3 linked regions of the Neodiprion lecontei genome follow. The protein of the gene in region 3 interacts with the protein of the main gene of each other region in a pairwise test. Links are inferred from orthologs where the notes say so. Each region holds a gene or a part of one and is shown on either strand. Other genes may lie near its edges.

What was found.
Region 1: the proteins of proteasome subunit alpha type-1 (region 3) and translation initiation factor eIF-2B subunit alpha interact in a two-hybrid assay, tested with the Caenorhabditis elegans proteins (4 studies listed by BioGRID). The link is inferred for Neodiprion lecontei from reciprocal best matches to the Caenorhabditis elegans genes pas-6 and eif-2Balpha.
Region 2: the proteins of proteasome subunit alpha type-1 (region 3) and zinc finger C4H2 domain-containing protein interact in a two-hybrid assay, tested with the Caenorhabditis elegans proteins (3 studies listed by BioGRID). The link is inferred for Neodiprion lecontei from reciprocal best matches to the Caenorhabditis elegans genes pas-6 and vab-23.

Annotation. Positions count from the first base shown.
Region 1 is NC_060260.1:5,337,124-5,344,728, reverse strand, and holds translation initiation factor eIF-2B subunit alpha, read right to left. Parts: upstream 5,383-7,605; 5' UTR 5,211-5,382; coding exon 5,186-5,210; intron 5,115-5,185; coding exon 5,013-5,114; intron 4,869-5,012; exon of another isoform or gene 4,706-4,868; coding exon of another isoform or gene 4,660-4,705; intron 4,579-4,659; coding exon 4,439-4,578; intron 4,097-4,438; coding exon 3,980-4,096; intron 3,734-3,979; coding exon 3,621-3,733; intron 3,518-3,620; coding exon 3,373-3,517; intron 3,213-3,372; coding exon 3,087-3,212; intron 2,840-3,086; coding exon 2,690-2,839; 3' UTR 1,604-2,689; downstream 1-1,603. Other genes in the region: tyrosine-protein kinase Fer, read left to right, coding at 170-309; solute carrier family 25 member 40, read left to right, coding at 5,923-6,031, 6,136-6,302, 6,488-6,622, 6,757-6,919, 7,011-7,207, 7,297-7,378.
Region 2 is NC_060263.1:27,158,322-27,166,839, forward strand, and holds zinc finger C4H2 domain-containing protein, read right to left. Parts: upstream 5,884-8,518; 5' UTR 5,683-5,883; coding exon 5,624-5,682; exon of another isoform or gene 5,532-5,623; intron 5,066-5,531; coding exon 4,894-5,065; intron 4,475-4,893; coding exon 4,293-4,474; intron 4,044-4,292; coding exon 3,816-4,043; intron 3,474-3,815; coding exon 3,344-3,473; 3' UTR 1,337-3,343; downstream 1-1,336. Other genes in the region: cathepsin L, read left to right, coding at 1-91, 278-486; 8-oxo-dGDP phosphatase NUDT18, read left to right, coding at 6,531-6,639, 7,803-8,346, 8,443-8,518.
Region 3 is NC_060265.1:2,722,127-2,727,946, forward strand, and holds proteasome subunit alpha type-1, read right to left. Parts: upstream 3,267-5,820; 5' UTR 3,111-3,266; coding exon 3,108-3,110; intron 2,747-3,107; coding exon 2,496-2,746; intron 2,253-2,495; coding exon 2,093-2,252; intron 1,991-2,092; coding exon 1,781-1,990; intron 1,710-1,780; coding exon 1,497-1,709; 3' UTR 1,269-1,496; downstream 1-1,268. Other genes in the region: lipoyl synthase, mitochondrial, read left to right, coding at 1-16, 115-172, 245-403, 493-862; caltractin, read left to right, coding at 3,595-3,597, 3,737-4,246; exosome complex component RRP43, read right to left, coding at 4,668-4,771, 4,975-5,078, 5,186-5,306, 5,385-5,679, 5,739-5,820. UniProt on the Caenorhabditis elegans protein: The proteasome is a multicatalytic proteinase complex which is characterized by its ability to cleave peptides with Arg, Phe, Tyr, Leu, and Glu adjacent to the leaving group at neutral or slightly basic pH.

The sequences.
Region 1 (7,605 bases), on a different chromosome or scaffold from region 3:
TTTTTTTTTTTTTAAACATAATCTTTACCCCTCCCCATGTGACATGCACCTTCTTTAAAACCAAATCCTCCAATTCTCTTGATAGAGCATAATATCCATGAAGATTAGCAAAAGCTATCATACATACATTAGATTCAAGGATTTACATAGATTTGCATTATTCTTAAAGGATATCGAATGCCTACCCCAGAAGGTACTCCAGATGAAATTTACCGGTTAATGTTACGCTGTTGGGAGTACGAGCCAGAGAAAAGGCCACATTTTGAACAGATATACACCGTTGTTGATACATTGTCGCAAGCACTGTAATGCCTAATGCAGCCCACTTGTAACATCTGACTACGGAAAACATTAGAGCTTCTACCGTAATAATTCACCTTATTACCCAAATGACGGGTTTACCAATTATAGGTTCCTTTATACATGACTTCTTTTGCTACTCAAACACACACACTTATCTACTTATTTGTGTATATTTTAAGCAAGCGTGCTCAAGTCGAATCTAATTCACTTCTTGTGAAAGATACTACGACGGTATGAGAATGTGAATATAATTTAATTGGCCTGCATGGAGTCTCAGTATCACCCCAGCAAAATGAGAAAAAAATTGATTAGTCGCGGTTATATGGGGTTCACCATAGTTTTGTTTTCATTGAGGTGCATTTGCATCTACTCCAATATAAAATAAAATATTTCTTCATCTGATTTGAGCATGATCTTTCAATACAACGCAGCTTTTAAACAGTGTGTGTAAGATATTGTTTATTACTTCTGAGCTGCAATATTCGTCTGTAATAAAAGTAGAGTTAGGTTTTTTTTTTCTCAAGTAGTATGTTAAACAATGACAAGGTGAACTAAGAATTTAAGTTTTATATTTTTAATTTCTTTCAGCTACCATACTAATATTATATAATGCAAAGATTTTTCTGATAGGAGATTTTCAATAAAATAGAATAATAATTACGCTGCTAATTATGGCATCCATATGTACGTAGGTTAAGGAAAAAGCAGCTTATTGTTTAAGTATTAAAACCGTATTTCTCGTGATAATATTTGCAGCTATTTTTGAAAAACTTTTACCCACAAAATTGACTTAGTTTTAAATACTTCAGGAGATTAAATTTTTTGATAAAATTATTACATTTTTATATCTTCCACATTAATTAACGGAAAAATAGTACGATTCTGTGAACATAATACAGGCGTTTTTTAGTTTTGTGAATGTAAGTAACATTCTGCAAAGCGAAATATTTCTTTCAAAAGTATATGTTCAATTTAATAGACGTCTATCTAACCGCGTAAATTATATGTCAGCTTTCCATGCATCAATTGCTTTAGAATTACACTAAAATAGAATCTTTTTAAACTCGAATTTCAAAATAAATCGCCGAATCCCAGAAACATTGCTAAACTGAAAAAAATGAAGACAATATTACTGCCATGTAGACTGTTTAGCTCCCGTTGTGGTGCATAAACTCGGTTGAGTCTGCATTAAAAATTTCATTAAATGTACGCTTAGCGAAATTCTACTGAATTTCTTGATTAATATGATTTTTGAATTCTTCCAGTCATTTATTCATATATCTCATTTTTCCTTGAAATGCAAGAAAATGACGTTCAATATTTTAGAACAAGTCCAATAAAAATGTATAAGTACTTTGAGCATCAGCCGTTGTTGCTATAAATGTTGATAATAAATAGTGGTCAAGACATGTCGCCAAATTATGTATTAAAACAAGAATAAACTGAATATCAAATGTAATTCTATTTGCAATAGGGCTATACTACTTCGAGAACCTCTGCGCAGGTAGAAATCATTTCTATTTGCTAATTGGAAAGGTTGACAACTGACTAGCGCGTTTGTATTATTTAATAATGTTACTTTACATCTCATTGATATTAATAATTTACCATTGTTGGAAGAAATGATTATTGATATGTTATAAGTATTTTAAATATCAGACGCTATCATTCTTATAAGTTAATGTCTATTGCTGTGCAATATAAAAATCGTTTCTATAGAGTATATTCTTTAAAGTTGCTAATCTGAATATGGAATCAGTCAACTAGGAAGAAGTTATGGAATAATGTATATTGTTTTATTCATATATGTATGTGAATTACAAATGAACAAAATAATGTACGTGATTCTATATACATATGTACGTAGATTATCGTTTTTATTATATATATAGCCATTACAGGCAAGAATATAGTCAGTTGATGTTCATTTAATTGTTAAATTTTATTCGTTTGATAAGTCTAACATTGATGGAATAAAAAAGCAATATTTTAACAAGAAAACCATGCTTTTATCTTCAAAGATGTTAATTTATTTAGTATTCCATAACCAATCCGTACGTTAATTTAAAAAATTCAACGCTTCAACTGATTCGAATTTATTTCTACCTGTACAAAACATACATAGAAAGATCTGGTTGTAACTGCAATCATATAACGGAACTTTTTTCCACTAACTAGGACTTTGTTCACGGAGAGAATTGAATGAATTTTCGTAAACCTTCTTAATATTCAAGCAACTCACGAATCGAATACCCCATAATAAAAATTTGGCATCTAAAATGAATTTGAGTCTTATATGTATCTCGTATTGCAGCCTTTAGAGTATATTTCAATGGTGACGTGAAAAATAGTAATCCCTGTGAATGCAGGACAAAATTGTTTCATTTTATAAATAAAGTTTAATAAGTTCGTCACTAACAGCAGATGGAGTCAGTATACCAAGATCAGTGAATAAAAGATTTATATAAGATGGTGGAGTGTAATCAACTAATGGATGTTCTCGGTGTAGATCCTTTTTCAGTGTACTTGCTGTGTACTGTGGGAAAAACATACACGTATAAAAATACTTCGTATATGGTTACACTTTTTCAATTTATCTCAATCTTGACAACTATAATAAGTAGATTCTAGCACACGTGCATATCGCGTGTCGACATTGTCAAAATAGTATCATTCGCCACTAAATTTTGACTGATTCATAAATTTAAAACAATAAATCAATGGTAAGAGTTTGAAAAGCAAAAAGAAAGTAGACAATAGTTTCTCCCACAGTTTAAACTCACTTTAAATTCGTTGGGGAGATCAACTTGATTTAGAGGATATATTCGAGAAAATTTATAACTTTCAGTCAGGACATAAAAAGGTTTCTTGATCTCCCGAGCACACATCGCCATTGTGTAAGTTCCCACCTGCAATTAGAGAGTTACGTGTTTTTTTTATAATTTTGTGTAAAAGTAATGGAAAACTCTACAGATGCAGTTTTGTTCGTTGCATCTCAGATCATACCATGAATACTACCTCGTTTATTACTGTTACATAATATATTACGTCGACAGAACTTATACTTGCTTTATTAATTATTCCACCGCTCTCTGCAACTCCCTCAGCTCCAACCATTACCATGTCAACTTGCTCCATAATGTAACCCATTGCCGAATCAAGTATTAACGTACATGGCACATCCAGGAGGGTCAAGTCTTTGCACATTTCCTTGCTGTACATGAATCACGTTATTCATATTTCTATTGGGTCTATGGTAAATTATAAAATGTTGTGTGATATATACAATGTTAAAATTTTATCAAATTATAGCTCACCCGCTATTGTTTGGGAAAGACTCCGTGACATAAACTTCGAACCTTTTATTACTAGCTACAGCTTCTTTCATAGTTTGTAAAACAACTCTGGATTTGGAATGTGTCAATATCCTCTATGCAAAATGAATAGTAATTTAATTCACAGTAGTTGAGTTGATAGTGTTAATTGTACTGAGTGCAAATTTCTACGTCAGATGTGTGTACAAATGAATTCTATTTTACACATTTTGAGAGCACAATCTAATTAGATTCTATTCACACTATATACGTGAAAATTTGTATCTTATTTAAATATTAATCAAATCATCAGAATATCATCCTTAGAGTCAGTAATCACCGAGTGAAATTCTTTTACTTACCGAGCCATCTATTATAAACTGTGCAGCCAGTTTAGCCACTTTACCACGTGCAGCAAACAACTTATCGTAGAAAAGCTTCCCCCGCTGAATCATAATCCGTTTACAGTCAGCAAATGGCTGCATGTAAGAGCAAAATGAATAAACTATACGTGTATGGTAAGATACTTGATTTGTTGTATGTTTATAAATACGATTTTTTGAGAGCAGATCAAATAATACAAATGTTATATCCTGAGTACCATCCAAATACTCTTATAAAATTATTGTTTTTTTATACCCTTTCTGTCAAAGAACCTGCTATGACTTGAGTAAAATTGATTAAAAACTGATTGTGTATTATCTACCATACTTATTTAAAATCCTATCGATCGAATGAAGTATAAGTATAATTTTTTAAATCTCGGGTGAACATTCTCTTTATTTTAAGTACGACTTTCTAAATTAAAATAAGACACTTACAGAATTATCCAATGTGGCCAATGTAATGAAACGGAGGAAAAGCTCACAACCCGAAGCAATACCAGTAACAGGATGATCGGTAGATCGCATTGTATCTACTGCATTTTGCAGACACAAATGGAGTTCCTGAACTGTTTCCGCTAAACATAATAATACACAATCAAATAATGAAGAAAGTATAGCCTCATGAAACCATAAATGGACGGAAATTCCATTTTCACCTACAAAGCAGCATAAATTTACAGCCTTAGTCTTTGTTAGTTGCATTCACTTTGTTAACCCTACAGCTCGTGACTGAGGTCCAAACGCACCCCACACAAACTTTAAACGATGCTGAGTGCGACTACCGCTACGTGGTTTTCAGACTTCGATTGGGTTTTCCATTATCTAAATCTAAATAAATTCAGATTTTTCGTACACCATTCTCTTCCTTATGAAAAAACGAAGAAAACCATGCATGAGGAAGTTTGTTTATCAGCATAGGACCAGTTTTGTCATGCGTTTGAAGGTAATAAAAAATAATCATGAGTAGTAGGGTTAAACATCATTATTGAGACTACGAAAAATTACTCACAGTCAGAGCGTTCCAAAACTTTTAAAAGCGTTTGTATTGCAGCCATTCCTGCTGATATATCGCTTTCATTCTTCATAATGCGGTTAAAAAATATACAGATATCTGAAAGTGTATTTAAATAGTTCCTTAGTTGTTGGTTAAGTAGGCCATATTTTTAATCAGTATCTAAATACCTTTTTGATTCATACTGTCTGGCATTTTTCGAAATGTTATCAGCTATCGCGACTCTTCCAATACTGAAGTATTATTGTAATAAAAGGCGAGAAAATAAATCACCAAACATCTGTGCAGTCGAGACAATTTGAGGTTAACGTCACGTATTTATTGCATGCTTAGAGCTGCTCCATTCCCGTTCACCGTGTCCGTGATCCATAATTGATGATGCAATCGGATGAACGTATCGTGGAGTACCTTCTTGTGGCTTTTGGAATTCACGAAACTGTACCGGTAGTATAGTTTCTATTCACAAGTTTTTCTCATTCACAATTAATCGAACGTGAATTACAACGCGTAAAGTTTGATATTTACTTATGTCAAATGAACATTGAGCGATAATAATTGCATAGCGTAAATTTTAAACAGAACAATACGTAATATACATACTCAATTGTACATACGAAATCTATTTATGTACGACATGATTGAACATAATATAGCATGGTGCCCTTGCTGTTTGATACCAGGATTCATGAAATTTCACCATCGAAGCTAATCTTTACTTAAAAATATATCAAGCAAGATTATTTTTACACTTTATAGTACAACAATTATACTCAGCCACCTCGAAAGCTTCTGACATGTGATCAAATAAGCCTGTTGCATTGAGGTTATGTGTACTCTGTACATCTTGAACGGTAGATATTAATTTTGATCGTCAATGACAGTAAGCTGAATCTAATAACGCAATAAAATGAGTAATAATCTCGACGATATTGACTTGGATGATCCAAGATTCCGCATCAGACCATATCAACAAATGGTGGCTTCGTGTACTGGAGCATTAATCACATCACTATTTGGTAAGTATACATACAAGTAGATATGCAATACCGTAGTATTCCGTGATAACAAAAAAAATTTTCATGTTCAATTAAGGCAATTAAATGTGTTCCTTTTTTTTTAGTAACACCGCTGGATGTTGTAAAAATTCGACTACAGACGCAACAAAAAGCAATGCTCTCTAACAAATGCTTTTTGTACTGTAACGGACTCATGGACCATCTCTGCCCTTGTCTAGATGAAAAAAGTCCACCTTGGATGCGCGCTAATGGAAAATTTAATGGCACGCTGGTTGGTCAAATTTTCAGCGACTCCTTGTTAACAAATATCTTAACTTTTAATCTTTCACCTCCTTTGGTGACGATCTTTTCACGAATTAACACCAGTGATCATTTTATTCCATATTTTTCTTAGTCGCCTCCATTTTTACAGTAATAAAACCATACGACTTGTATCACCGCCATTTATATTTGCAGGACGCGCTAACTAAAATTAGTAGAACCGAAGGTGTATTATCACTATGGAGTGGGTTGAGCCCGACTCTCATCCTGGCAATACCAGCAACTATAGTATATTTTGTATCTTATGAACAACTGAGGCTATTTTTCAAGGTAAATATAATAGATTTGATTATATCTGGGTATGGCAGCTATTGTCTATGTAAACTGACCAAGACCCTTGTCAAGTTTCTACTCATTCGATATTCTGAAAAACAGTTTCAGAGCTAGCATTATACACATTGCAGGATACCTATAACAGTAGGATTAATAGTGGAACTAATCATTCGGTGCAACCGTTCTGGATTCCAATGTTAGCTGGTGGCACAGCGCGAATTTGGGCTGCATCTTTAGTAAGCCCATTAGAGCTTATTAGAACAAAGATGCAATCGCAAAAACTGAGTTATATCGGTAAATTGATACTAACTATATTCATAATCACTATTCTTCCAAATTCAGAATATCTATGCACGCATTACATTTAATGAAAATTTTATTCCAGAAATCGGACAAGCTTTAAAGACCGTTGTTAAATACAGTGGATTTTCTGGTTTGTGGATGGGTCTTGGGTCTACATTGTTGCGCGATGTACCGTTCAGTGCTATTTATTGGTTAAACTATGAAACTATAAAACAACAGTTTCGAGGAACTCAACAAACATTTACATTTAATTTAGCAGCTGGAGCTGTAGCTGGTTCTGTAAGTTAATTACTCTCCAAGGAGAATCGTATTCAATTCCATTTGAAGTTGTTCTGTTCCTACGTTCAACCAATTTTATTTGTTTATAGATAGCGGCCTTAGTGACTATTCCATTTGATGTTGTTAAAACGCATAGGCAGATAGAGATGGGTGAGAAAGAAATTTATTCAGGTAAATATACTCAGACTCAATATTAATATTATGATACTGGAATTCTCAGAAATCTACATTTTACTTGAGAAAACTTATTAAATTATTTATTTATGAAATGTAATATTACTATGGACAATTTCAATAAACTAGGAGTGAGTGATAAGCTTGCCAATACAGACTTTGGTCCAAAGTTTTTAAATCTAATAGAAATATAGACATATTATATGCACAGGCAATACAGTATT
Region 2 (8,518 bases), on a different chromosome or scaffold from region 3:
GAAGAAAAGTTGCAGGCTGCTATTGCTACCATTGGGCCAGTTTCTGTTGCTATTGATGCTTCCCATGAAAGCTTCCAGTTATACTCTGAAGGTAATTAATTCTTCATAACTTTACAAAATAAAAGACTCGAATTAATGGAAATTGGTACTGGTGAACACTTTTTAGAATACAAAATTAATTGAATCTCTCATGGTCATCACTAATACAAATTGCGAATTAGCTCCATTTTAAATTTCTAAAATTGAACTCAGTATTGAAAGATTTTTATTCTTCCAGGTGTTTATTATGAAGCTGGTTGTTCCGAAACTAACCTGGACCATGGAGTTTTAGCTGTTGGTTACGGTACTGATGAAAATGGCATGGATTATTGGCTCGTCAAGAACAGTTGGGGTGGTGATTGGGGTGACCACGGGTATATCAAGATGGCCCGAAATAAGAACAACCATTGTGGAATTGCTTCTACAGCAAGTTATCCTCTTGTTTAATTATGGCAATATAGAGTGATGAGATTTGTTATTCATGAATTATTTTCTGGAATTATTTAATAGATAACATCAATTTCATATGTGATTCTAACTGATAAAGTTTATGTACCTATTTTTGTTTTATTATTACTTAGCGATACATTTAATATTTTATATACTCGTAATTTTTAAATAATTTCAATATATAAGTATTAAATTACAACCGTAAAAAAATCAAATGTTATTAGTAGTAAATATTTCAGTCCACGGATAGACGGATAGATCTTGCCAATGCGACGTTTAAAACTGATGACATGAATGTAATATTTTATATTTTAACTGTTAATGAATATGGAGTACTTTTGAACAGTTTGGCAGATTTGAATTTTGTTACTTATCCCTTATACGTAGATCACACTAATAACGTGAAATATTTATAAGTACAATTTTTCTTTATCATTTGCCACATTATCTAATTCTACGTTGTAGAAGAACGAACAATTTCAATAGAATATCTTACGAATATAAATCAGACATCAATCATGAGTCGAAATTTAGATTTATTATATCTGTAACAAAAATCCATTTCTCAGTCTGGGATGATTGTTGGAAATTCCTAAATTCAGGTCAATGTTCGAAGAGCTCGTAATTAGGGAAATATTTTGAATGGCACTCATTGAAATTCATATTGGACAGTATTGTTACTCCTATGCCTGATGAATCTACCAGTTCTGTCGACAACATGTGTTCCATTTATTAAAGTTTACAAGAAAGGTACAGATTTAGTTGCATTTAAGTTCCAGTGTACGATGTGTTGAATTCCTATTCCTATTGATAAAGCAACGTTAATCTCTTGCATTTTCGGACGCGGTAGATAAAAATCGCGACAGAATAAAATATGACACCTATATAACAACGAGTTAACGTCGTTGTCCTTCGGTTTTACAATTTCAACCTATAATTATATATTGTGATTGATAAATTAGCTTGATTTTCCGTCTTTTCTGTATATCTTAACGTAATGACACACATTATTTCATAATTTCATAACTCGTAGAATAGATTACAAAATTTTCTGACTGTCGTATAAGTCATAGAACTAAGTAACTTCATCGACGTCATCATTGAATACATTGTGGCAGAGAAGGGATTCAACATACTCAAAAATAAATATTTTCCAGTACCTTATTCGTGCGATTAATTACTTTTCGATTATCACTGAATTGATTCAAGTTATGTAATGAAATAATTTGGACTTTCAGTAACCAACAAACTCCGAAAGTATCTATGCAATTTCAACAGGGGTTGAATAAAGTTCATGATACGCAAATTTTCCTTAAATAAGATACCTAATAATAAAGGATTATTCACACTAGTTTCAAGATCGTAATTGCAATATTACATATAATATTGCTTTAAGTAGATATAAAATTGCAATAATGTACATGGTAATTCATAAATTCAACAGTGTAACAACTTGTGTACTACTTATGATGAACCACGATCGAGCTAATTATTACTATACACTCAAATATACTCACATTTCAGGCTTTTGGAATCTTCAGTCATTAGATATTTTATGAACTATTCGGAACCTGTTTGAATAGTTGGTTTCAGTATTGTTGCTCCGATTAGTACAGGGAGCTCGAATTTTCACTGTGCGAACTTTATCAATTGCAAGTAACTGCATAGGGCAAATCGAACTAATATGGTACAATTACCAAACTGTGTGTATTGGAGGATGATTGAGTAAACTAGAGTGCGAATCACTGGATCTGTTATCTATTCAACAAATTACTGTTCTATAACTCAAAGTTGCTCAATTTCATTTTGCTATCTAAAATAAAATTTATTTACACAATAATGACGCATTTACGCAATAACTTTAACTGGGTTTCTGATTTGGACTTTCAGTCTATATTCTGTGATTACAGGGTGAGTGAGTACAAGCTCCGTGAACAGGAGGAACTTACTTGATCAATAGGCGTCACTTCACAGTCGATCAATTGAATGATTAGGCAAACCATATTGAAGCAACGTATGTCAATATTGATATCGCCATAAACAAGGAGCTAGTCCACATATTCATTGATGCAAGAAATGTATGTAACAGTTAGCTGCTCTAGAAAAATAACGTGATGATACTGACTAGTAATACTGAATGATATTGAATCTGTTGTCAAAGTTTACTTTATTTAGATGCCAACTGGTTTCTCAAAATCTTCCGACTAAATTTTTATATTCAACAGGACGTCTTTTATTGCCAGTTTGAGCAGCATCTGGACACTTGTAGTTGTCGTTGCGTTTTTTGATTGTCATACAACGCCAACACTGGACCATCAAAATTTCACTCCGATATCAATATTAGTGTTTCTTTGATGCGGTCTGCCTGTTTACTAATCTGATCGGCTATGGTACAGCATCCATTGATCAAATAAGCTTCTCAAATTCCCAGAGTTTGAATATGACTCACCTTGTATTTTGTATAAATGTGAATTCGACCAAATAATGAAGTTCATAGTAAATTAAAATACTGTAGTTACATTCATAAGCTCGTTAATTTTAAACACACGTTCAGAACTAGATCAGTTAAAAAATAAAAAAAAATATTTTAGAAATCTTTTTCTGCACTACCGTCGTCAACAATTCGATTATTTAGTAGTTTTTGACAGTAGGTATCACAGAAAATAGAATCTGTGCTATGTACGCATATAAGGACTTCTTGATTCGTGTGAGTTTCGTACTTTACACTCGTCAAGAAACCCCTATTTTATGCGCACTTGCGACGAAAATAACTATTATGAAATAATTATATTTTCTCGAATTGATGCTTGGAGGCTGTAGGTTCAAGAGCTAATGATAAACTCAAGCCTACACGTTAGTCTTTTTTCTTAGGCTTCTTAGGATTACGTGAACGTGATTTAGCTTTACATAAAGGACAAATTGGTGCATTTCGATGAATTTGTTGATGACAGGATAGACACGACTTCATTGGTGGAGGTTGTTGCCTGAAAAAAAAGGATAAGAAATTAGAAGGATTGATACAAAATACAGAACAGAGCACCATTATATTTTCTTTCCAATACGAATAATATTGCTACAACAAACACTACAAATTGAAGAAACTGAACAATGTCTTGAAATATGTGACATGAAAATTAACACACTAATCCACAAATCAGCTCAAAAATCTATTGCTATTCTTTGCAACTCGTATTGTGCATTCCTAATAGAATGATCCAAAGGCAGTTTGTAAAAGTAAAGATATATTATACGAACAACCGATTTATATAATATTGCCCCATTCTGTATACTACTGTTGAATATGTAATGCGAAAGTGAAGATATACCAGTGGTACCTGAATGTTGGAGCTGGGGGCCCAGGAGCTGGAGGCAAAGGCCTAGGCTCTGGTTTACTAGGACCCTGTAGTGGTTGTGGAGCTAAAAACGGAGTTGGACCTCCTTGGTGGCTGGGATGGGGGTGTAAGCCCAACGGAGGCATTAAATCATCACCCCTTACCTCAACTCGCCATTCTGCTTTTTGCAGGGGGCGGTCAAAATAGCTACGAGCAAACCGTCTACACAATTATAATTATTATTCATTATTCATTAGTTTCATTATTCCATATTTAACATACGTTAATACATTTTTCAGATCAATAAATTGTTTTTATCTTTTGTATTCTCAAAACATGTTCGTGTAACTCGCTTTGCACATGGCTGAGTTATAAATTGTCAATCTGAGTTGAGGATTTTGGATTGAAGAATAAATTTACAAGACTATTACGGATCGCATTAAGTAATTTAATAGTTAGAAATCTGCTTACTCAGGTGAAATAAGATCTGATTCCGTTTCATAGAGCTCTGGTAGTCTTTCAAGTCCCAAGTATTCTCTACGCATTCTATCGATGTCGTGCTTTAGTGGTTGATAGTCATTGTTATGGATTAATTTTGCTGTTTCTCTAGCTCTGTTGCGAGCATCTTCAGCTTGCTTTATAACTGTTTCCATCTACCGAATGAAAGTTATTATCCATTTAATTGTTGATATCATTTTTTTTAAACTTAAGACTATGAATTCAAAGACTATGAATAAGAATAGCAAAGTAAGACAACCATCGAATTAGATCTGCCTTCAGAAAAAACATAAACAGATATTACTCCAACCACAACTGAAAAATAATCCAAACATGTGACTCAAATTGCTACAATTATGTTATTTCCTCAGGGTTCCCTTATTGTCCTAAAATTCTAGGGTCTTCTGTGTAATAAGAAATATATTAAAACTATCGAAATCCTTTGCCAATAACATTGTGGAAATGAAAATAATGTGAATACATAGAAAAATGTTGTTCTTCATTACGAATGTCATTGATTTTTCAGCAGCATAAATTAATGTGGTCAATTTGAATGTAAAAATGAATTTTTCACCGCATTGATGTCGGCATGAATTTGTCGGAGTTCTTCAACATGTGCCATCTTTTCTTGCATTAAAAGTTCCATTTCCTGCTTGTATTCTGTCAAGCACTTCTCCTCCTGTTCTGTCTGTTCTACCTCTTGAATGATTCTCTGCTTCATTTTTTCTAGTTGCAATGTCTTTGACCTAAGAAATTCGCATGCAATTACAAAATACATCAGTATCTTTAAATTTGGTGTTAATTAGTTGTAAGATTTCAATGCATCAAATAATTCACAACAGACACTGAACATTGTGTGAATGGTGAGTGAACATATTACAACCAATATTTTTCTAAGACATGGGTAGTTGTTGACAATTATTATCTAATGTGTAATTTTTATAAAATTTAAACCCAACAATCTGTGGAATATTTTGAATGTTTGATTAATGAATAATGAAATTGTTGTATATAATAGGGCATTTTTTAAATGAAAATGTATAGTTGGTGTTAATGTTAACAGTGGATATTGATTGGTTGTAGCGAAATGACGTATCTTATCACATTATAAATTAAGTGAGTTGAGGTTTAATGTAGTAAGAAAAATAACAAATAATGTATTTTCTGAACGACAACTTATGAAGATTGATTTTTTCAAACAAATGACCGTACTTCTCGTCTTTTCAGGCATCCATTTCTAATATTCAGATCCGTGCAATAAACGCAGAATAATAACTGTTGTTTTCCGTGCATCTTGTACAAACCTAATATCCTTGAGTGCTTCTAGTTTAGCAAAAATGACTGTACTATCCGGTGATGACATTTTTCACGTAGCTAAGGTTTCACTGCTTATATCACATCAATTAATACAAAATTCCAACAAGCATCCCCCTGTTTATTGCCAATAAACTGGTCCTTTCCCTTTGCGCTTCTTTCAGAGCACAAGAAAGTTTGGAAAGTTATGGAAATTTACAGAGAATTTTAGTGATGCCTCCGCTTAGCTTTGCGTTTAGTTCAGAAATTTTTCAAAGAGCGCGCTACTATATGCTTACTCCCTATCTTGACTTTGTGCCACCAGTGGCGCTACCTAGGTGGCTAGGTATAACCATACGTCAGCACTTGGTCTATTGTTGCGCGAACGCAGCATCAGAGCAGAGCTAAGTCTAATGCCTGGAGCTGCCGAGTGCTGCCGAGCACTAAAAATGACGTATGTTAGAGAGGTTGGAGAGGTTGCCGAGGTACACTCATCGGTTCTTGGGTTCTAGGCATTAATCCAAACACATGAAAAGCCGCGTACTACCGCTGCGGGATCAACTACAGGGCGTAGATTCACTCACACGTGCACTCGATTCATCAGGATCTGGTGTGAGTGATGTGAGTGAACGTCACGGCCTGTGGGTATAGAGATAACTACAGTAGGAGCATGCTCGAAAAAAGTTTTATACATCTTCTCTGATGCCTTCATGTCGTTATCTTTGGTCATCCCCTCCGGCCTGCTTTACGGAAGAGAACGTGCCCAGAATTATTCTGACGCGTGTGTGTGTGTGTGCAAAAGTGTCTTCTGATGGTGGGGGATAACACGAAGCAGCATGTTTAGTCAACGACAGTTATGAATCGTTACGTGTACTTTAATTGCGAATAGAAATATTAACAAGCGTTAGCTATAATAAAATGCCTGATACCATAGAAGACAAGATTAGGCTAGTGTTAAATGGACAAAGTATAAATGACAACGATGATCTGTGCGACTTTACGCTTGCTGAACAAAATGAGTCAATAGGTAAGGATGGGAAGAATTTATACGCATCTTTCAAGAATCTAACTGGCAATCGCAATAGCGTGCCACTAGAGGTCATTCACCTGCCTTCGTTCGTTTAATTTGTCGTATAAAAATTTGAAAGCCATCCAAACTTTATTTGCAATTGAAAATTTTATTTCGTGTAACAGTACTCCAGAAATTGTGGGTCCCTGAATCACCAGTATTGCAGAAAAGCGAATTTTATGAGTATTAGGATTATCATTTATTAATTTCATCGCTAAGTAGTTGCTTCATATCAACCTGATGCTTTTTTCGAACATAGCAATATTATTAGTGCAATTACAGATATTCGCAATGATCAAACACCTGTTTTCAGTGTAATTTGACCAAGGGGCTATTCATTTTTCAAATCAGCTATATATCCCAGATTGAAATCAGTTGGAAGTTGCTTGCATTAAGAAATAAATCGTAGTATGTTAAGAATGAAATCACCTGAATTGAGCTGAAATCAGCTGAAATTATTCAATATCATCCGAAAACATCAGAATTCTCGTCCAAATCTTAAACTCATACGAAATTATCATGAAATTGCTTTGAAATCATTCGATTCATACTTTTGAAATCGTAAGGCCCAGGAGTACTACACTCACAATAAACACCAACCCGAATGTATTGAATTTTAATTTTTTAGAGCACTTCATATAGGGTCCTAGGTTCTAATCATCCCAGGTGATTACCTCACAAACGTAAAGACATGCAAGACAAAGTTTTGTACAAAACCTGAAGTGTTTAAGGGGGAAAGATAATTTTTTTTCATCATCATGATCAACCGTATAAAATAGTATGAAATTTTGTCAAATCACATTTATGGTATGTGAATTCTTGTGAAATTCTTTGTGTACACCCCAAAATTGCATGAAAATCACCATACTCATCACGAAATCATTCTGAAATCAATATGAAATCCCATGAATTAGTGTGAAATCCATATGAAATCAATTCAAAGTCCCATAAAAAAGTGTATAATCACATGAAATCATGCAAAGTGCGAGAAATTACACGTAGTATTTTGTAATCAGCTACCATTGTCTGAAATCGCTTAGAATTATACGAAATCACTTGTGCACTTGAAGCCTTAATGAATAGCTCGTTGACTTTGACTGACACGATACTTTCGTTTCCAGAAGCCAAAGGAATTCAACCCACTGCAAGCTCTGACTACGTTCCAATTTGTCAAAAAACTGTGACATACGTAGTCGCAGCAGTACTAATTAACGATAATGATGAGGTATTGATGATGCAGGAGGCAAAGGCCTCCTGTGCAGGAAAATGGTACCTACCAGCAGGAAGGGTTGAACCCGGCGAGGAATTGACAGAGGCATTCAGAAGAGAGGTTCTCGAAGAGACGGGAATTATCGTTGAACCAAAATCATTGGTAATCGTTGAATGCGCGACTGGATCTTGGTTCAGATTTGTTATGACTGGAAATGTGATTGGTGGTGCTTTAAAGACTCCTGAACAAGCTGACGAAGAATCACTACAGGCTTGTTGGATTCAAAATGTTGAGGAATTGTCACTTAGAGCATATGATATCATACCGTTGATACATAGAGTTAGAGAGTACAAACAAGGCCTTAACCCACCATGGCATTCTCCATTACTTCCTATAGCCAATCCCCACAGTAGGCTTTATTTGAAGTTAATTGTTTGCATAAAAAAGAAAGCAACGTAAGATTTATTATTATATATTCATATGCGCATTAAGTGTGATTGACTACATGAGTTGTTTGTGCACTAATTAACATCTTTTATCTCCATTTATAGTAACAGAATGCATGTTTTGCTGTCGGAACGCACTGAGTATCATTTACCTATTTGTGAAATAAACCCGAGAAGAAAT
Region 3 (5,820 bases):
TCAGTTGACCGTGATGGTGAAATATTTTTTTTTTATGTAACATTACTGTTATAGAAACTAGTTTAAAAAGAGCAACTTTCAGAACTCATACTTGATATTCATTGCCCATTGCAGATTTACCAGATGGGGGAGCAAATCACATAGCAGCTACTGTTGTAGAAATTAAAAAGCGGTAAATTTTGTATCATGCATTTCATTTGCTACGTTTTCAATGCTGTTTCTCAAATTTACCTTATTTTCTTAGGAGAAAAGATATGTTGGTCGAATGTTTAGTACCAGACTTCAGAGGTAATCAGGAATGCGTAGCAAAAATAGTTGAATCGAAACTTGATGTTTTTGCCCACAATATTGAGACTGTGGAACGTCTAACACCTTTTGTTCGTGACAGGCGTGCACACTATAGGTGAGTTCCAGCGAAATGAGCATAGTAAATAACTATTAATGCTGTTCATTTGCTGAGTAACATCTTTAATTGATATCAACATTTGTCAGACAGTCGCTGAGCGTTTTAGAAGGTGCGAAGAATAAGAATACAAATTTGATAACCAAGTCATCGATAATGTTAGGATTGGGGGAAACTGAACAAGAAATTGAACAAGCCATGCAAGATATGCGAACAGCTGGAGTGGATGCTTTAACTCTGGGACAATACATGCAGCCAACAAAACGACACTTAAAAGTCATCGAATATGTAACACCAGAGCAATTTAAAGCATGGGAGAGTGTAGGAAATGATTTGGGCTTTCTGTACACAGCAAGTGGCCCATTAGTGAGGTCTTCTTATAAAGCTGGTGAATTTTTCTTGACAAACATATTGAAGTCACGTCAAGCTGAATCTATTACACAAGATTCAGCTACCTAACTAGTTATATCCTGAATTTTATAGCTGGTGCAATGATTACATAGTAATATATATAGAAGGAAGTTATTTATACAAGTTGAAAGCCATTAATAATCATTGTAAATAAAATTTATTCCAAAAGGGTGACACGCAACATTTTCTAACTTCTACTTTTAATAATCATAGCAATAATTATTTCTGAACCTGCCATACTCTTTCGGTTACGTTCCCACAAGCGAATAGGTAGCTTGAGCAGGGTGGGGGAGGAATGGATTAGTAACCATCATGTATTTCATAGCCGAATCCTTTTTAGTCAGTTCTTAATAATTATTCACGCGAGGAATTACACAATTCTATTTTTACCGATAATCTTATAATCACATACCATGAAAAGTTGAATTATCTTGATTAATTAAAGTGCACAAACTCTGGAAATATACCATTTTATTTCCTAATTATGTTATTACAAAAGCTTATTCAAATAAATGTTGCTATATTTTCAATACAATTTTCAGTTTACCAACAAGACTGATATCAAGTTATCATAAAGATGAAAATCCTTGCTGCCAACGGAGAAAACGACTTTATTCCGGTGTGATTAATAACATTTTTTTATTGCAACTGAAAAAAGAAAGCATTCACATAGCAATGTAATTCACTCTGTGTCCATCGCAACAGCCGGCTGGGGATCTTGTGGCCCTTGGTCGGCAGGTGGAGGCTGAGGTGGTTGAATATCCTGTTCTGCAGCACCACCAGGACCTCTAGACCGTTTCTCATCCCCTTCAATTTCTGACAAGTAAATTGCTGTAGCAGATTCGTCAAGAATTGTAAACGGCACATCCTTTCCAACGATTCCAATCGATACATTCTGAAAATTGTCATATATTACAGTCAATACATTTGGAATACGGCGCAATTCTAATGTAATGGTAAAAGTACCTTGACTGTGAGATCTACTTCATTGGGTAACGTGTCGCGCAAAGCTCTAAGTCCATGTTTGACAATCTCGTCAAGATCGCAACTTGGGAATTCGTTCAGATGTTTCTCAAGATATGTACGAGCACTCTGAGAACGTGACCCCAGTGCCATAGCTTTGCAATTGAAATAGTTGGCCGATGGACATGTTTGAAAAATGTGTGGTCCTTGATCCTGAAAGGTGATTTTAGTTTGAATCAGTGCTTCATTTCAAAACAAAAATGTATTAATCTCGTTAGAAAAGTGATAAACTTTCAGCATAGTAGAACTGCTTACGTCGTATCCAGCAACAAGAAGTCCTACTCCATACGGGCGTCGATCGTACCTTTGAGTACACGTTTGCATCTTATTACCAAGGGTAGTGATGAGCCGACTCACAGGTAAGACCGAGTCATGCGAGTATTTGTAGTTTAAACATTCAGTTCGCATGTATCGACTATAAGAATTGATATTATAGGTGATATCAAAAATCAGAGTAAATAGTATAAATTTAACAGAGATGAAAAAATACTTGGAAAATTGTGGATATTTTGGCAAAGTTCACAATGCAGTTTATTATATTGATTGACAATATTTGCATTTTTTGAACGCTATATCAATGTAAAATTTAACAGTAGCAGCATTAATTAATTGTCATTTAAACTGATCAGCAAGACAAATGTTGATGTAAAAGACAAACCTTAGCATTCTAGCATCTGCAGTGAGACCAGCAAGAGTGATGCCCATGTGATTGTCAATCGGGATAATCTTCTCCTGATAAGCAGAGAGTTCGGAAGAAGCTCTCTTTAAAGCAATCAGTACAGCATGAGTTCTATTCTTAAGCCCGACTGTTGCCGAACCCTGTTTGACTGCTTCCATGGCATATTCTACCTGATGTAACCTGCCTTGAGGACTCCATACCGTCACGTCGCTGTCGTATTGATTTCGGAACTGAGGGTAATTGGAAAGAGAAATAATATTACAGAATATATTGGAAATCAGGTAAAATGACTTCAGTTTGCCATTTAAATATAACTACGGCCGGGTTCTAATTTTGTGTATGGGGGTTCGAGTCACCTAACCTCGCAAAATTAATGAAAAAAACTGAAAAATTGAGTATTTTAACATTGATTATTAACTCAAAACCACCGCCATATGATTCTCATTCCACATCGTTGTATGATCGGAGTTTTAAAAGCGACTGCAAATCTGTAAATTCTTAAAATCGAAGCAAATGACGAAGCAAAAAGTGCCGAACCTAAAAATTGATGTATTAGAATTTTTATTTCATAATAGATCGGATAATACCAACCATTTTCACTTAATAATCCACAATAGTATGGGACCCGGTAAATTCACTATTCCTTCAATCAAAGTAAAAAGAAATAATGTGCCGCAAAGTAAACTGTCATCAAGCGTCCATGAATGAGACCCCGAATGACAGTGTTAACGCAGACGAGAATACCAAGTCTTAGGAAATCCTGTATGTGTCTGTGTTCTGAAATCTCATGAAAAAAAATTCGGGTAGAGTATCCAGGGAGACGATCGCAGCGCACCTAGCTGCTAAAGTTTCGGCTGATAACGAAAATTTTCAGCACTGTTCAGTACGTAGATAGCCATTGAACGGAAAACAAGAATGTGATGTTTAGCGATGTCACGACGTGTACGTACCTTAGCAACCGTGTGACTTTTCAATGTTGACAACCAATTGCTGTTTGATCGCAGTTTGTTTATCATAAAAAGTGTTTATTTAATATCGTGTGGTGTATTTCCACTTGAATCAGCACCTTAAGCAAGATATGGTAATTATCTGTAGTAAACATTTATTCATTTGCTCGCGGGATCTCAAATATTTGGACTCGTTGAATGCATCTGTGACAAAAAATGACTAATAGATAAGGTAGATTAAATTGAATAATGTAACTAATTTGTTGATCATAGACGTCAGCATACAAGAAACAAATCAATGGTGGAACAAGGAAGAAAAGCACACCAAAGTTTGAACTGACGGAAGAACAAAAAGCTGACATTAAAGAAGCATTTGATTTATTTGATCCTGATGGCACGGGAAAAATTGCTACCAAAGAGCTGAAAGTAGCGATCAGAGCTCTGGGTTTTGAACCAAAAAAGGAAGAGATTAAAAAATTAATAGCCGATGTCGATCCGGATGGTCTTGGTAAATTGTCATTTGAGGAATTTTTGAATCTTATGTCGGTGAAGATGGCAGAAAAAGATTCTAAGGAAGAAATTTTGAAAGCTTTCCGTCTATTTGACGACGACGATACAGGGAAAATATCATTTAGAAACTTGAAAAGAGTAGCTCGTGAGCTGGGGGAAAATTTGACTGACGAGGAACTACAAGAAATGATCGACGAGGCTGATAGAGATGGGGATGGAGAAATTTCACAAGAAGAGTTTTTGCGCATTATGAAAAAGACTTGTTTGTATTAAAACAGATCGGCAATGCTAATTTCAGTTTCAACTTTTATCAATATAAGTCAGCAAGATTTTTACTAACCAAGGACTGCCACTACGCTGTATATTTGCCAAAATCAGTCAAATTTTACGATCACTTGTATTTAGTACAATCTATCTCTATTTTTGTTTGAAAACTATCATTTTAATGTGGCTCTCAGAAAACGTTAAATTGTAATCTCTACTTTGGTAAATACTGCTTATCAATAATATTTTAAATGATCAATAAAACTAAACAGTATTTAACATCTACCTATCAACATATGACTAAATCCTGTGATCGTTTTTCTGATTTTGAAGGCACTGCACAAAGTAAAAGTAGTCAATAAAGAAACAATGTTTATTTTATCAATTCGATTCAAAGTACAGATACTGTTTTTATTGATATAGTGCTTTCTCAGTTTGTCACTGCAGCCTCGATAACTTTTCTGATAAGATCTGCTCTCTTCTTAGACTTTTCCAAACTTTTTGACAATAGTTCTTGAGATATTGGAATTCCTCCTGATGACAAATAATTAGACCTCTAAATGGTTGAATCAATTTTTGCAGTATTATAAATAAAATAATTTCATTTCATTTGATTTAACTTGTTATCATTTTATCCATCGGATCAGGTAAACCCATTGAGTTTGATTTGCATCCAGTACTACAGAGATAAAGAACTCAGTTACTAGATGTTGCAAAGAATAAGGAAAATTGCTAACCAGGCTTGTAAAGGCCACATAATTCTGGTCCGTCAATTACGAGACATAGTTTCCCTTTGGCCAGAGATTCCTCTTCATCGGTTGGATCAGCAAGTAGAAGTTGTCTAAACACAGACATATAATATTGTTTTGTATACGATTTGACCTTACCGTATTTCAATAATGTTTCCACGTAATCCAAGCAAAATGTATACTGATGGAAGATACTTACTCATCAAAAATTGCAAACGTGGTAGATACAGGAAGTGACTTGAGAGGAAATGGTTTTCTGTCAGAAGTGTCTACAACGATGGCACCTGTTTCAGGATTATGTTGGACTTCTGGTAAAGTTACTGTGCAATAAACAGTGGATCATTGTTAAAGCAAATCCATGAGGCTAATATATAACAATGAAACAATTGTAGACTTACAACTTTTAAGTGCAGCTACAAGTGCGCCAAGGCATGCATCTGTAACTGATCCATCATAATCAATGCAAATCAAATCGCAGTAAAGCACCCACACTAGTTTATCAATGCAAACACATAGATCTGTCAAGTCCAGGGCAGAAGAATTTATTAAGATGTCATCTATTGTCTTAGAAGCAACCTGAGCCTGGTCGCTGGGTGGTCCAGGACGAAATTTTGGAGAACACAGTGGTGAGAGTTCGACGTTGGGTATTAAATATCCGCAATTTGGAGTATCGGCTTTTGGAGCTGCTAATTCCTACAATGAGAAGTACCAGCTTGGATCATGTAGACAATTAAACTATCAAGGATGCTTACAGCTTTGATCCCGCAAACAACAGTTGTACTGCCGATCTTGAATATGGCTGAACTATCGGCCTGACTAATAGCTCCTACGTTG